Pelodiscus sinensis: one gene and its partner. Each later gene encodes a partner of the first gene's protein in a complex. Links are inferred from orthologs where the notes say so. Each region holds a gene or a part of one and is shown in the gene's direction. Other genes may lie near its edges.

The links. Proteins that work in one complex are often made in the same cells at the same time.
Region 2: the proteins of SFN (region 1) and ESRRG are in contact, whole or in part, in a crystal structure (PDB 8BJG), measured with the Homo sapiens proteins. The link is inferred for Pelodiscus sinensis from reciprocal best matches to the Homo sapiens genes SFN and ESRRG. Residues at the interface, in NP_006133.1 of Homo sapiens: Asn42, Ser45, Val46, Lys49, Arg56, Arg60, Arg129, Tyr130, Glu133, Gly171, Leu174, Asn175, Val178, Glu182, Leu222, Asp225, Asn226, Leu229, Trp230; in NP_001429.2 of Homo sapiens: Arg175, Arg176, Arg177, Lys178, Ser179, Cys180, Gln181, Ala182.

Annotation. Positions count from the first base shown.
Region 1 is NC_134735.1:2,336,175-2,343,007, forward strand, and holds SFN (14-3-3 protein sigma), read left to right. Parts: upstream 1-4,807; 5' UTR 4,808-4,912; coding exon 4,913-5,665; 3' UTR 5,666-6,237; downstream 6,238-6,833. UniProt on the Homo sapiens protein: Adapter protein implicated in the regulation of a large spectrum of both general and specialized signaling pathways. Binds to a large number of partners, usually by recognition of a phosphoserine or phosphothreonine motif.
Region 2 is NC_134713.1:150,705,911-150,713,584, reverse strand, and holds the start of ESRRG (estrogen-related receptor gamma), read left to right. Parts: upstream 1-4,601; 5' UTR 4,602-4,759; coding exon 4,760-4,815; intron 4,816-7,674. UniProt on the Homo sapiens protein: Orphan receptor that acts as a transcription activator in the absence of bound ligand. Binds specifically to an estrogen response element and activates reporter genes controlled by estrogen response elements.

The DNA of each region.
Region 1 (6,833 bases):
TTGCGGGCTCCTTGGGACTAGCCTTACTCGGCAGTGGGACAGTGGCCCCCCTCAAGAGACTGACGTAATTGAGTGAGATGAGCGGGGAGGTGAGACTTCCCCAGGCTCAGTATGGTGTGTTCACGGCTGGAATCAGAGGATTGCGAAGCAGCATTTCTACCAGAACCGGCCAGTACGCCGCCCCTCCCCCTCAGCCGTGAGCTGCTTGCGCCATGCGTGTGCAGGCAGAGGGGGCACCTGTCAGCGACCTAGGTAGTGTGTGAAGATGTTCTGCAGTTGAGTCTTAGCCCCTTCCTGGGTGTCCTAAGTGCAGTAGCCGTGTCAGTAGCAGCTTTTGCAGTCCCCGCATAGACTCTGCTGCCTCCCAAGGACTGAGCAGAAGAACTAGGCACAGGCTGGGCGGGTGTGAAATCCATTTACGCCTTGTACTTTTGTAACAAAATAAAGTTTCTCCTATTTACTGTACATGGGCATCTGGCTCTTGTTTCCCCAGCGCCCAAGGAGGGACGTCTCCCGGCTGCCCTGCATGTGCGCGCTCTCTGGAGAGGGTGGAGCGAATGAAGGTGGAGCGCTAGATGTGGCGTGTGTCTGTCTGACCTTCTGTGTTAACCATACGGGGCGGAAAGCCAGGAACGTCCTCACCCTAAAGCCAGCTTGGCACTGCTGGGGGCCCCGGAAGGTGGGGGTGAAACATGGCTTGGTCCCAAGAACGGGAGGCATCAAAGGTCTGCTGAACTGTCGCCATGTTTCCTGATTGGAGCCTGCCCAGATGCAAACCTCGTCCGTGCAGACCTGTTGGCTTTTTCTGCCCAACTGAGGCGGGGGCTCTGGCTCTTGCAGGGAAGGATGGGCTGGTTCAAACGAGCTCGGGGGTGGGGGGGCTGTGTCCTGCATACGCTTGCAGGCTAGTCCAGGGCTCTTGGAAATGGCCTTCTCCACAGCACTAGTCCCGTGTGGGAGCTGCTGCAGGGAGCACACGAGGGGAGGAGGAGACAGCCCTGCGGGTGGTGATCTGTGCCCCTCCCACGGGACTAGCTAAACTATCGAACCTCCCTTGTTCAGAGCTAGTTTAATAGATTCACGTCTTTCAGTCGGACTGAGTGCGCAGCTCCAGGGGCCGCCTTTCTCTCAGGTGCCCCGCAGGAAGGCAGCCGGCCACCGCAGCATGAGGATGCAAGGGGCAGTCCGGGGCGAGCTGGCCCCGGAGGAGCGCAGCAGGGCTGAGCACCACGCTGGACGTTGCGCTTCAAACGTTTACAGCCGGCAGGCCCCGGGAGGGGAACTGCAGGCTGCCGAGCCTAGTGCTGAACTTGTACTTCAGACGGCACCATGTCCCCAGGGTCCTTTCCCACGTGAGTCAGGCCGAAGAGACGGCCGGCTTCGTGCTCCCACAGTTTGGCAAACAGGCTTGGGGTTCGCACTAAGCGCAGTCCCTGGACAGGCTGCCGGCCCTAGTGTGTAATGCTGGGACACGTGTGTGCTCTGGCCCAGCCCAGGTCATGTAGTTCGCTTGGCCGTAGCTGCCGCTGCCTTTGGAGAAGGTTCACGTGGTGCTGCCCTCCACAGGGGCCTGTGCACTTCCACTGCAGCCCCCAGCCCCTCGTGGCTTGGCCACAGCTGTGCGGCGTACGCCCCAGGCAGATCAGGGCTTTTTAATCTGGGTCACCAACTGAGAGCAAGCAGAGATTCAGAGCGTGGCCAGGCTCTAGCTTTCCCTGCTGCAGACCTGCGCTGCCTTCCGCTCCCGGGGACAGACGTGGGATATGGTCGGGATAAACAGATCTCCCACTGAGAAGTGTGGCCTCAGAGCTGGGCCCTCCCAGGCAGACAGAGATGGGGGAGGGTTCCCATGTGAGACCCACAGCTGGGGCGAGCTTCCTTGGGGAAACTTCAGTGTAATCCTGGTGTGCGTGGGCCCTGTGCTATGGCCCTTGTGCGATCACAGCTGGGCGGGGGAGGTGAGACCGGCGCTTGCCCCCTTGCCTGGGAGAGTGGAGATCAGTGGCTGCATGGATCAGACATTGTTTCCCAGGCTGGGAACAGTTATTCCCCCCCAGAAGGGGCAGGAATGGGTATTTCCACAGAGGGAGGGGGCATGACATGAAGGAGCACTTAGCTGGAGCGCTAGCTCAGGCCCAGGGCCTGTAAGATGGCTGACTGCTTTCCTAGCGCTCCCAGGACTTGGCCAGGAACAGCTTCCCTGTGCCCTGCTATGGCATCCCCATCATTCCCTGCAGCCTCTAGGACTCCCGGCCCAGCCTCACACGAGTACCTAGATCCGACCAGTATTAGCCTGGCAGAGTCCTAGACTGGGCTGGGGCGGGGGGGGGCCTGCAGACCCTCAGAACGGTCGGTTGCGGGCGGCACACAAGTGAGAAGCAAAAAACAAAACCCCCAACCCCCACTGCCGTGAGCTCTGCCTGAGGAGGAGCAAGCCTCACCCCACATCCCCCTCTACACCAGAGCCTGGGGGCCCAGGCTACAAGAGTTTGCATGTTCCAGCCCCACGGGGAAGGTGGGGGGCTGGAGTGCCAGCGTGGGCTCCCCAATGCTGGGGGGGGTCTTGAGCCTCAGGGGCCTCATCCAGCCCCCAGGCCATAGTTTCCCCACCCCTCCCTAGACTATAAATACTTGCCCTGGGCTAGAAACTAGTGTGTGTGTGTGTGGGGGGGGGGGTGTCAGGGGAAAGGCTGGGGCCTGAGCACTAGGCTGGGACATGGGAAACTGGCAAGTCCTTGCTCTGACAGCGGTTTCCTGGGTGACCTTGAGCAAGTCACTTGCAGTGGGATTTTCAGAAGCCCTTTTGAAAAGGGCACTCGTCTCTGTGCCTTCACGCCCCCCCCCCCCCCCCCCGTATATACACTGGTGACAACGGCGCTTTCCCCTGGCCCGTTGGAGGTGTGAAGACCGCTATGTGGAAGAGCGGGTGGGAGAGGCTCAGATATTCTGGTTACAGGGCCCAGAGAGGTACCGTGCTCAGTCCACCCTGCCGTAGGTGTTCAGTTTCAAGCCTCAGTAGTGGGCTTTTCTCAACCCTTAAAAACCAGTTCTCCAGCCTCAGGCTGCGAGCAGGAGCCACCCCAGGCCACGCTGGTCCCACCAACTGGTGTCTGCCTTCACCGGACTGAAATCAGCCAGGACAGGGCCTTTCTGCAGCCAAGAGCTCAGCATCAGCTGGGGGGGGGGGGGCACTCAGATGTGGCTTTGCACAGATGAGTAGTTGTGAGTCAGGCAGCTGGAGCAATTTACCTGCAAAGGGGAACAGCTGAGTTACCGACCCCACCCTCTCCTCCCCAGGGCTGCATCCACCCAGCAGATAAGGCCAGTGATTAAGGCAGGTTTCAGTGCAGTGAATTTGTCAGGACGCCGCCTGGCAGCATCAGCCTGTGGAGCAGTCAGCCCCTGGCAAGTAGGAACAGGCTCGATCGGTTGGAGAGACAAACTTCAGGAGAGCAGGAGAGCCCGATTCTAATGGCAGCAGCTGATCCCAGAGCAGCCGAGCCCTGGCAAAAAGGGGTTTCCAAGTGTCTTCAGTCACTGGGGCAAGGCGCAGGCCCAGCAATCCAAGGGTGGGTACAATGCAGGGCCGCTTCTATTGGCTGAGGTGAGGCCTGTGTCTTAGAACGTCCTTTCCACCAGCCTCTGCCTACTTTCTGGCCTAAGCTCTGTCCCCTGCCCCTCACTCTGAGCCAGGCTGGTAGGAAGTAGCCTGAGAGGCTCTTATTTTAAAGCAGAAGGTCTGCAGGGGGACGTGGTGCTGTGTCTCAGCGGAGGCGTTTCACGGCAAGTTGCCCGAGTGCCCCTTCCTAAAATGGGAGGGGGGGTACTTGAAATATCCCGTCCCGTCCCTTCCCCACGGTCAGTCGACTCTTGGCCTTGCTTCCAGAGAGCATTGTGGTCTCCCTGACTCTCCGTCCCTCAAAGGGAAGGGGCGGTCATGGGGCCCTGTTCCCCGCCAGTGCCGGCCCGGCGTTCCCAACCTGCTCCTTTGCTCCGTAGGCAGCTTTGGGCTGCACAGGCACAAGCACAAGGTGACTTCTTTCTGACATCTGGTCCATAAGCGCATCCTTTGGGAAACTGAGGCCAGCTCCGCAACACAGTCCGAGTTCAAAGGGAGTGAAATGACTTCAGTGCGAGGTGTGATTTGAGCCCCGGATTAGGATTAACCTGCTGTTGGGGGAAGAGCCCAAGGGACCTGCCAGTGTTTTCAGAGCTTCTTCTGCCCTATAATGTTGGAGCTGCTCAGCCACCCATCTGTTTAGGAGCTTGGTCACGGCCTCTTGCCACGTCTGCCGCTGTGGTGCCCAGCCAGACTCCACTGAGGACGCTAATGGGATGAGGAGCTGCCTGGGGAATCTCCCTGCGTTTGTGTCAATCACACTTAAAATGATAACGTGCCTTTGGAGGGCGTTTGGGGCTGTTGGAAGCTGCAGGATTGGCCATCTCAGTGCTGGAGGGTCTCGAGCGAGCCCAAGCGCAGGTCAGCCGCAGGGCAAGATTCCCCCCGGAGGGTCCTTCTCTGGGCAGGAGAGATGAGCTGGCCCTCCCTGGCCTCGCCAGTGGTTGGCTGCCCAAAAGGGGGCTAGGGCTGCCCGTGAGGAGAGACAGCCAAGCACGCTGTTTGGAAGGAGGCCTTGCGTGAAGATGGATTTCTCTGACATTGGCAGGTGCAGAATCCGTTGCGCTCCAAGGTGAATCACTGCCGCTTGCCTTTTAAGGAGAGTGCTGTCTGGCAGGAAGTGGGGGAGGGGTTCACTGAGTGCTTTTCCGCCACGCCCAGCCCTTGCTCCAGGCTGAGACGCCAAGCCAAAAGCCGATCCCATCAGCAGAGCGGAGCAGAGACTCGGAGGGCTCCTGAGGTGACTGCCTGCTCCCTTTCGAACCGGCCGCTTTGCCACCCGTGCTCCCAGCCATGGCCAGAAACCAGCAGGTGCAGAAAGCCAAGCTGGCCGAGCAGGCGGAGCGCTATGAGAACATGGCAGATTTCATGAAGGCCGTGGTGGAGCACGGGGACGAGCTCTCCAACGAGGAGCGCAACCTCCTCTCGGTGGCCTACAAGAACGTGGTGGGGTGCCAGCGCTCTGCCTGGCGGGTCATCTCCAGCATCGAGCACAAGACTGAGGAGGGCGACGAGAAAACGCCGCTGGTGAGCGAGTACCGCGAGAAGGTGGAGGGGGAGCTGAAGGACGTCTGCAACGTCGTCCTGGGGCTGCTGGACAAGCATCTCATTAAGAAAGCCAGTGACCCAGAGAGCAAGGTCTTCTACCTGAAGATGAAGGGAGACTACTACCGCTACCTGGCCGAGGTAGCCACCGGGGATGACCGCAAGGAGACCATAGAAAACGCCCAGAAAGCTTACCAGGAAGCAATGGACATCAGCAAGAAGGAGATGCAGCCCACCAACCCCATCCGCCTTGGGCTCGCCCTTAACTTCTCCGTCTTCCACTACGAGATCGCCAACGCCCCGGAGCAGGCCATCACGCTGGCTAAAACCACGTTCGACGAAGCCATGGGCGACCTGCACACGCTCAGTGAAGACTCGTACAAGGACAGCACCCTCATCATGCAGCTGCTCAGGGACAACCTTACGCTATGGACGGCGGAGTGCGCGGGAGAAGACGGCGGAGAAGCCGGCGGAGAAGCCGGGGAAGAGCCTAAGAACTGAACTGCAGCCCCCTGAGCGACGGTCGCTTTTCCCACCCCTCCCCCTTTTGTGTAAGACGCCGCTCGGCTCCCGACAGCTCTGCCTGGAGTCCGACAGCAAAGGGGACTGGCTGGTCTGTGCATGTTATTCCCACTTTTTACTCCGTCTTCTCTCGTGGCAGCTTTGGGACAAATCCCCCTTCTCTGGCCCTCCCCCCCCCAACATTTCTTGTGATCTTCTTGCAGTGGGAGAGCACCTGTCACGTTCCACCAACCCGGGTGTAACAGCGGGTCTCCTTGAGCTCCAGCCCTGGGGCCTGATGGGGCTGCCAGCCATTAACATTTAAAAGGGGAAGCGGAGGTTGGTTTTCGGGGCGAAGGTACCAAAGTGGAGCGGTGGCGGCTCACTCGCGCGCTCCCCTTTGCTGCCTGTGGCGCCGTGCTCCGCAGGGTTCTGCTGGGTGTGGCCGGCCGGCCGAGGGAATCTTCGGAGCGGGTGACGAATGACAAACTTGAGGTGCCTCGTGTATTTGTGCCTTGCCGAAGCCGCTGCCTGCCTGTCCCTCTCCAATAAAACTGCACTTCCACCCCTGCCTTTGTCGTCCTCGGCGTCGCTTCTTTCCCGCACCCTGTACGCGGCTCGGTCAGCACTGCCTGCCCCGCTGCACAGGGGCCAGGGAGTCCTGAGCACGCCCCCGGCTCGGCAGGGAGCGAGCGCAGCCTGGGCCCAGGCAGGATGCCTGCTGGCCAGTGCGTGAGGGCTGGCCCCCAGCAGAGGCGCTAGGCTGAAGTCGAGTGTTGGGAGCAGGCTGTGCCCCAGAGAGCCCAGCGGGCCATGAGCCCAACTTGCATTTGAGAAGTGATGGGGATAGGTGGGGGTGGAGGAGCAGCAGCTTTCGCAGAGGAGAGGGACTTTGCGGGGCTCGGGCCGAGGGAGTAGGAGCCCCGGGAACAGCGTCTGTTACCCTTTCTCAGGCTGTCTCCAGCGCCGAGTGTCTGACTCCCCTCCCTGCCCAGCGCTGCTGCTGCTCAGACTGGTTTGAAACCCCAGCCACTGTCCCGTGGCTTCCTGCAGCTAGAACCCACCTGGCCCCAACAGCCACGGCCAGCTCCCAGCCCAGCTGTTCAGCCCCTTGTGTCCGTCCTTGTCTGCATGGCCTGCCACTCCGCTCTGCTCCTGGGCCACGTTC
Region 2 (7,674 bases), on another chromosome or scaffold:
GATTTCTGCTGGGAATACTCTGTAACTAAAGTAAGTTTTCCCTTTGGTACTGCACTAGTTTATGATTTAATTTTTACTGACATTCCACCAGTCATATTATTAGCTTCACAAAATGAAAGTGAAATAATCCTGTATTAATTAAACAGAGCAACTGAATTCCCTCAGTCATTTTATCCTTGGCTGTCTGAGACAGTAACACATTACTGCTTCTCTGAAGAAACTTACACTAGGGTAAGAGCCCGGTGTAATCGAAAAATATCAATATTGGAGTGGACACTTCATTTCTCTCTAATGAGAATAGCCTTTTTTTGAGTGTTGGGCAATGGGTAGGCACTTTTTTTAAGGCTCTGTAAAGGGTGTTTTTTATTCAGCAGAACAATTTTCACTTACAACAGTAGGAAAAGGTTCTATTCTGTAGCAGTGAAGGCAGTTATTTAAAAATTAACGTCTGTGTTCTTGAAAATAAAGGAAATAGAAAATATGGAGTGTATTGCTAAGATCAGGTGACTTGAATATACTTTGATAATATGGCAAAGTGTTTGCTGTGATTTCTTAGAGAAGATATGTCATCTGCTAAAACCGAATTTTTAAACTAACAAACAGCCCTCAGCTTTGTGTGTAGAACAATTCCTGTTTTGTGATGAAGTTCTAAAGAACATGTTGAGGTAGTGTTGGGTTTTTTTTTTGTGTAGGATCAAAGCAGGGAGTGATTAATACTAAATACAGATCGAAGAAGCAGATGGTTCTAAAGTAGTTACCTGCTACCATTTGCCTAACCATTTAAAAACAGGTGAACAAAATTTGCAACTCATTTTAGTGAAAAGATTTTTCTCTACATTAACAGTGTGCCCATAGATTCACTGCATCCCTTCTAATAAGAAGCACTAAAGGCAAACTCCAAAACCAAACCAGTTATGTGTCTAGGAGGAAGGAGACAGCAGCAGAGCAATTTTAATGAAATTAGCATGAATAGCATGAAACAAATTTAAATTGTGTTTTTTATTTGACACTAGCTCACCTAGTTACCTGGCAGAGTGGCAAATAAACATTAATTTGGTCCTCTCATAGTTCCTCTCAAACAACGAGTGATACTCCAACATTTAATTAAAACTTTATTGAAAATCTCATAGCCCATATGTAGGTTTTGCTGAGGTGGGAAACAGCCTTCTTAAATATAATAGGTTCAGAAAAAGTATTTATTTAAAAATAAATAATCTCTGAGCAGACGCTGGAATTAATAATGTTTTTGACCCCTTCCCAAATGTATTTTGGTCTCTTTTAAGCAAATATGTTCTTGTCATAATATACTATGCTGCTTCTGTAAAGTGCCACTGAATCTTCACTTCTTCGGTTGCCTTGAGGTAGATGTGATTTAGGAATCTGGCTCCTTGGATGCCTTGAAATGTCGATTGCATTTAAGTGTGAAGATGCTTAAAGATGTACTGTTCTTACATTTGGTAATTATATGCATGGAGATGTGTGGAGATGCAGACACTGCACAGTAATTCTCATTGACTGCTGCGGACACTTGTGACTGTTTCCTTCCCCCCAATCCCCACACACACATACCCTTTTTTTTGGTTCCATTTCTACTATGTTTTGTATACTCTTCATGGTAAGATTTTTTGTGTGTGTGTACATGTGCATTTTTAATCCATATCCTTTACGGAAGTTCTATAAACCAAAATCTACCTTGATTTTATGTTCTCCCCAGGGCTTTTTATTTATTTAAAATGTGGCACAAGAAGGTTTATTGAGAACTTTTACTACAGTTATCTGCTGTAGAAGCTTTAAAAAAAAAAAGCGCTGAACAGTAACTGGGAAACCCATGTTCAAAACTGTAGATGAATTTCAGTAGTGGAACTAGTTGGAATTCCAGACCCTGGTCTGGTAGAGGTGACACTTTCAGTCCCAGCGGAGGAATCCAACTGCTTTGTTTATCAACACATAAAGTATAGCACTGTGTTTCTGGTCATCTAAGGAGCAGCACAGCAGTGAAGGCAGCTGCTTGCCTGGATGAAAGATGGTTGGTGGAAAGATAGTGATGGTTAATAGGGGGAGAGAAAGATTGGATAGGGAGGGAAAGCTAAGGGGTAGTGAAAACTATGTGGACACGAAAAGGATGGAAGACAGACCACAAGAGAAGGCAATAGACTGTCAGATTTTCAGCAGCTGAGTATAAATATACAGTCTAAAAGATAATGAACAAAAGTAAACATGAGGTAAATTTTGGTTTGATAAGGTTTTAAATGGCTTAATAATCCTATTTCAAATTATATATGTTCTAGGAAATAATGATTTAAAAATGACCTGTATCAAATGACTCATGTGTGGGTGTGTGTATCTCCAACACGGATCATTTTTTAATAAAAAACACACAGGTACAGAGTCTGAAGGAATTTCAAGCCCTAATGTCCGTATAGTTAGAAAATAGCTATTTTAAGAGTATGTATATCTATTTAAAGTTATACATTTAAACTAAAGATGTTTATTAGTTTATATGTTGCTGGAGATGTGCATGAATAAACCAGTTAGTGGGATTTTTACTTTGGATTTATATGGAAATCAAGAAATCAAGTATAGAATAAATATTTAATTTTCAAGTGTTGATCTGATTCCCACAACCACAGCATTTCTTTTTCTCTGTATTTTTTTAAGGAAGGGTTTTTAATTCCGTAAAATGATTAAATGTATCTTGTTTTAAGGTTTGATTAAAAACTAATCTTTTTTTTTGTCTGTATGGTGTGTCTAAAGGATGCTTGGGCTTTACATCTCAGAGCTCTTCTAATGCACTTCTCACAACCAAATTTACATCTTAATTACAGAGTTCACATTTAACAATATAGACAGCATAATGCTACTGGTAATTAAGCTTTTACTACCTGCTTTTATTCAGTAGTTAGAGCTATAGTTTTGCTGTGTTGGTTCTGATCCTTAAACTTGCATGTATTAATGCTTAATATGTAAGGAACAGGCCTATCCTTTGCATCTGGTTGAATACATTACACTGGAAATCACTGTCTAACATAAAGAGCTTTAAACATGTCCATTTCATTTTTTTTCAATTAATTTCTGGGGTTTCTTTTCCCCAAAAGCTGTGTAATAGATTTGAAGAAGACATTTGTATTCCCATTTGTGAATGGTATTAATGCATTCTGAGGGTTGCACTGATTTGTTTTGATCTTGAAAGATTGTCATTTGCATCATGTAGGGCTCCAGTCACAAAAGATTTGTGCTCACTAGAGCTGAATTATAAAAAATTGTGGGTCCTCCACTCTTAAGAAGGTAGCAGTTATCTCCTTGTCATAAATAGCTGATATTTATTTCCACCGCAACTTGGTAGAAAAAATTCTTTCTCTGCTACCAGAAAATGTATATTTTAGTTGTAATGTTAATAATAAGCTGTAGATTTTGAGGGAAATGTATCATACCCCCTTTTAAAATTGGTGTTTTCAGTGTAAACTGTGTCTGATTTTGCGTATGATCACTTTCTTAAAATTGGTTTATTCAATGAATTTTATTTAATAAGGTATATCAGTGTGAATTATAAAAGCCAGTGGTTTGGAGCAATTGGGTTCAAAGATGATTATGTAGGCATATATACAAGTAATGGATTTGATATATTTACTTCCAGTTTGTTAAAATTTTCTTTAAACAGTAAATTAAAAAACTGCAGGGGTATTCATTCAGACATACCACAATGTAGTCTGATCTTATTAAAATGAAACAGACTGAGTTGAGTCCATTATAATCCCTCCACAGTTACAGAAGAAATTAGTCAGTGCTGGAGCTTTCCCTTCTGTTTATGAACATGCAGATATGTGCATTTATGGCTAATGTGTTAAGTATGCCATATTAACATGGATCTGATATATGTATGTGTACACATATGTGCTCATAACAATGCGTGCATCTGTGCTGTTGAAACAAATGCATTTTTAAAATATTAGTTTTTCTGTTAAGTTGGTATCGATTTTCAGTTCTAAATATTCTTTTTTTAAATAAAACTGACAACACAAACTTACAGTTAAAATGACAATGCAGATCTTTAGAACAGTTAATTTTGAGCTTAGTTTCTTAGTACATACCAGAAAATTTAGAAGATAAAAAAATCATTTTTGCATGAAAAAAGCAAAAACACTTAAACCCTCTTCCCCTCCCCCAAGCAAAATCCTCCCAAATAACAACAATGGAATAAACAGACAATAGCAGCACAAACTTAGTTCTCTACCTTATGATGAATTCTTCACAACATTAACTGAGAGTCTGCATGTATTTCTTCCATTCAAGGTACTTGACTAATAGTGTTTTAAGTTACAGAAAACATCTAGTGCCTAGAGAGTTATGCTAATTAGGTTTTCTTTGTAGCCCCTTAGAAAAATATTGGTAACATTTACATTTCTTTTTATTAAGTCCCTACTCTGTTTTCAGTCTCTTTCAGTTTCTCCACCCCTCTGTACCTGCCTGGCTTTTCTCAATCTGTGCAGTCTCTGTTCTCCTCACATCTGATTGGCTAATGTGCTACCAATCCAGTATCTGTCTGGGCCAGTGGGACTGCATATGTAAAGCCCTACTTCATATTAATAAGCTCCAATCGGGGCTTTAAGTCCTTGATTAGGAGACTGTGAGAGCTTTTGGTCCCAACTGGCTGTGCCTATAGGCTTGTCACCAGGAGAACATTTGTGTTAATTGCACTGTGCTCTGTCAAGGAAACTTTGATTTATTGCTGGGGTGCACAAATAATGGTTGCCGAGCGCACATGGATTCGGTAGAACTTTGTCTTCCTGAATCTTTTTCCCTTCACTACGAAGAAGAGTAGGTATCTTTCTTCCTTTCTTTTTTTAACCTTTTTTTTTAATGAAAATAATGTAAACATTGATTCAGGTAGTGCTGTGTGGCTTGTGTGTGCATGAACGGTTATTTGTGTCTGTCTTGTCTTTTTTGTGCTGAGGATGATCTGCTAATTCAGTAAGTGGAGAATTGTTCTCTGACTACAATGTTACCTTTGAGTCAAAGCCCTGTGACTGTCAGTAAAACAGCTGTGTGACAGTCACTTCTTATTCAGGTACTAATAATAGGCACTTGGCACAAATGCTTAGTGAATTGTTAAAACATGCCTTGCAGTAGGACACATTTTCCCAGGGAAAGGATTTAAAATAATGTATTATACAAATGATTTACACTAGTGCCTTTCTTGTGTATATGCGGTTTGATAGATATTCTGGTCTCCCTGTCATTTTTGACTGTGCAGAGTTAGCCGGGAAAATAACTGCTAATACCTCTTTAAGGATGAATATTCACAATTAGCCTTCTGCAATTCAGGTCTAAAATGCTGTTCAACCAGCACTTCTTCACTGACATATCAGTCTACTGAATAACAAGGGAATTCTGTGCTTTTTAATAAAGGAGAAGAAAATATTAAGGAAGAAAAGAACCAAACTGACTTTAATATTTTGTACTTTAATAGAGAACTGATATAATGAAGTACATTTGTTCCCATTAGCCTGTAGCTTGTTTCATTGTGTTGGTTTGTCCCTGCAAAAGACAATAAACTACTTTTTTAATATATGATTTTATATAGTTGTTTCAGCTGTACCTATTAACTACCTAGTTTTGTATATATGCAGGTATAAATACTTGGACTCTCTGAGATCAAAAGCAGAAAACCCAAACAAAATCCAGCATGCTAGTGGTGATGAGTGGCTCATAAACTTGATTTCAACCTATAGTCAGGATTAAATATTAGTATATCATGGGAGCTGTCATTGATTCATTTTTCTTTATGTCGAGCCAGTTATTTTGCTGGGCTTTCCTATTACACTAGCAATGAATGTTGTAATACTGAAGAAAAATGCTAATAGTAAGTACATCCCTAGATGCACTGGGTAGGGAGGCTGTATAGAGAGGTGACAGTGTATTATAGGTAGATGCCCACTAGCTGTCCTTAGTGTCTGCATATTGCATAGCTATTTGTAATTAAGCCAGAGATGGAAAGTGACTTACAGTGACTGTATGTTTGTGATATAACATAGGAGTTAAAGAGAACAGCAGGAAATAGACTTGCCATTAGGAAAACAGTTTGAAGTAAGAGAGGGAAGAACCCCCTTTAAAACTGAAGGGGTAAAGAGATGAAAATAAACAAAGATAGGTTGCCCACTAAGATATGGTTTATAGGTCAGTGCTCCATGAACTGCAGTAAATTGTCTTCACATATGAATAAATGCAATGTTCACAGCTTTCACTTAATATTTTAATTTTTCCCTAGAAAATAAGGGTTTAAAAAAAATTAAAGGTAGGAAGAGGTTCTCTTTGAAAGGAGCTTTCCTGAATTTACCTTCTTACAGCTAATTTGAATGATTAGTTTAGATAAGCCTCTTAAAGTAGATGCATTTAAATGAAATCAGGGCACATGTCTTTTTGGCTCTGGTGCAAGATTTAAACTAATTCTCCTCCCCCCCCCCCCCTTTGGCTCAACTAAAAGTCTTCTTAAAACAATCCAATTTACTTTCCGGATGTAGGCTGTGTTGGGTGCGTGGTTGAGTGGACAGACAGAAATATCTAATATTCAGAAACACATCTGTGACTCTGTCTCAATTAATAAACACCAAAACTATCAATATTCATAGTAATTGCATTTTGTCTGTAAGCTGTCATGTCCATATGCATAAGGACCTACAGAGAATGCTATATAAGTGAATGAAGCATTTCCAGAAGTGGATAATTTCTACAGTTAATTATTGCGTAGAGGAGGATCCCAGCTAAAAATTGACAGAACATTTTGGGACATCTGCCTGACCGTCGCTAGGTATGCTTTGATTTTTTAAGGCAGAGCATGTTAAAGAATGCAATCACTTACAGCCATTTACAGCCTTGGTTTTTGCTTTACAAAAGTAACAATAATTCTAATATTTAATAATAATAGTTAATAACCTAACAGATGCAATAAATATATCTGCTCATTTTGACATATGTGTCAGTTTAATCATTCTAAATGAATCGTGCTCATAACATGAAATCTCCTTCAACCTCTGATTAAAATGTAACATTGACTACAGGATTATAGAGCTGACTTAATTTTACTGACTGTTTTAACAGTTGTCACAGCTGTTGGAAGAAGGAAAGGCAATTGAAATACTCCAAAGAAGGGGAGGAGGGGGAGGAACTAGTTTAGTAAATTTAAACATGATCTCTGAATGCCAAACATAGAAAACTGAATAGATTTGTGACTGCAGATAGCTTCTGTGCAGTGTGTACATTTGCCCTTTGTGCTTCATTCTATTTGTTTCATGAATTTGAACCCCTCGACCCCTTCCCTACTTTCCCCATTCAAAAAATATGCAAAAGAATTTAATGAAAAAGAAACAAATGTTCCTGTTACAATGTTGCATGCATTTGTATTTGATCTATAGTATGAGAAATAAAATGCACAGATTATGACAGGAAAACTCAAATAAGATAAGTGAAATTTAGATAAAGAAATGGACCTATAATGGAGTTACATACAGTAGAAAAAATACTTTGATGCGATGACAGTGTACATATATTTCATATTATTTTTTAAACAATATCATGCCCTAATCTTGGTATTGTTTGTATGTTTACTTATATATAATGAGAGAGGGAATTTGTCTTAGTTTCATTCTTCCCCTATCAAAATATTTTGATATAGCTCTT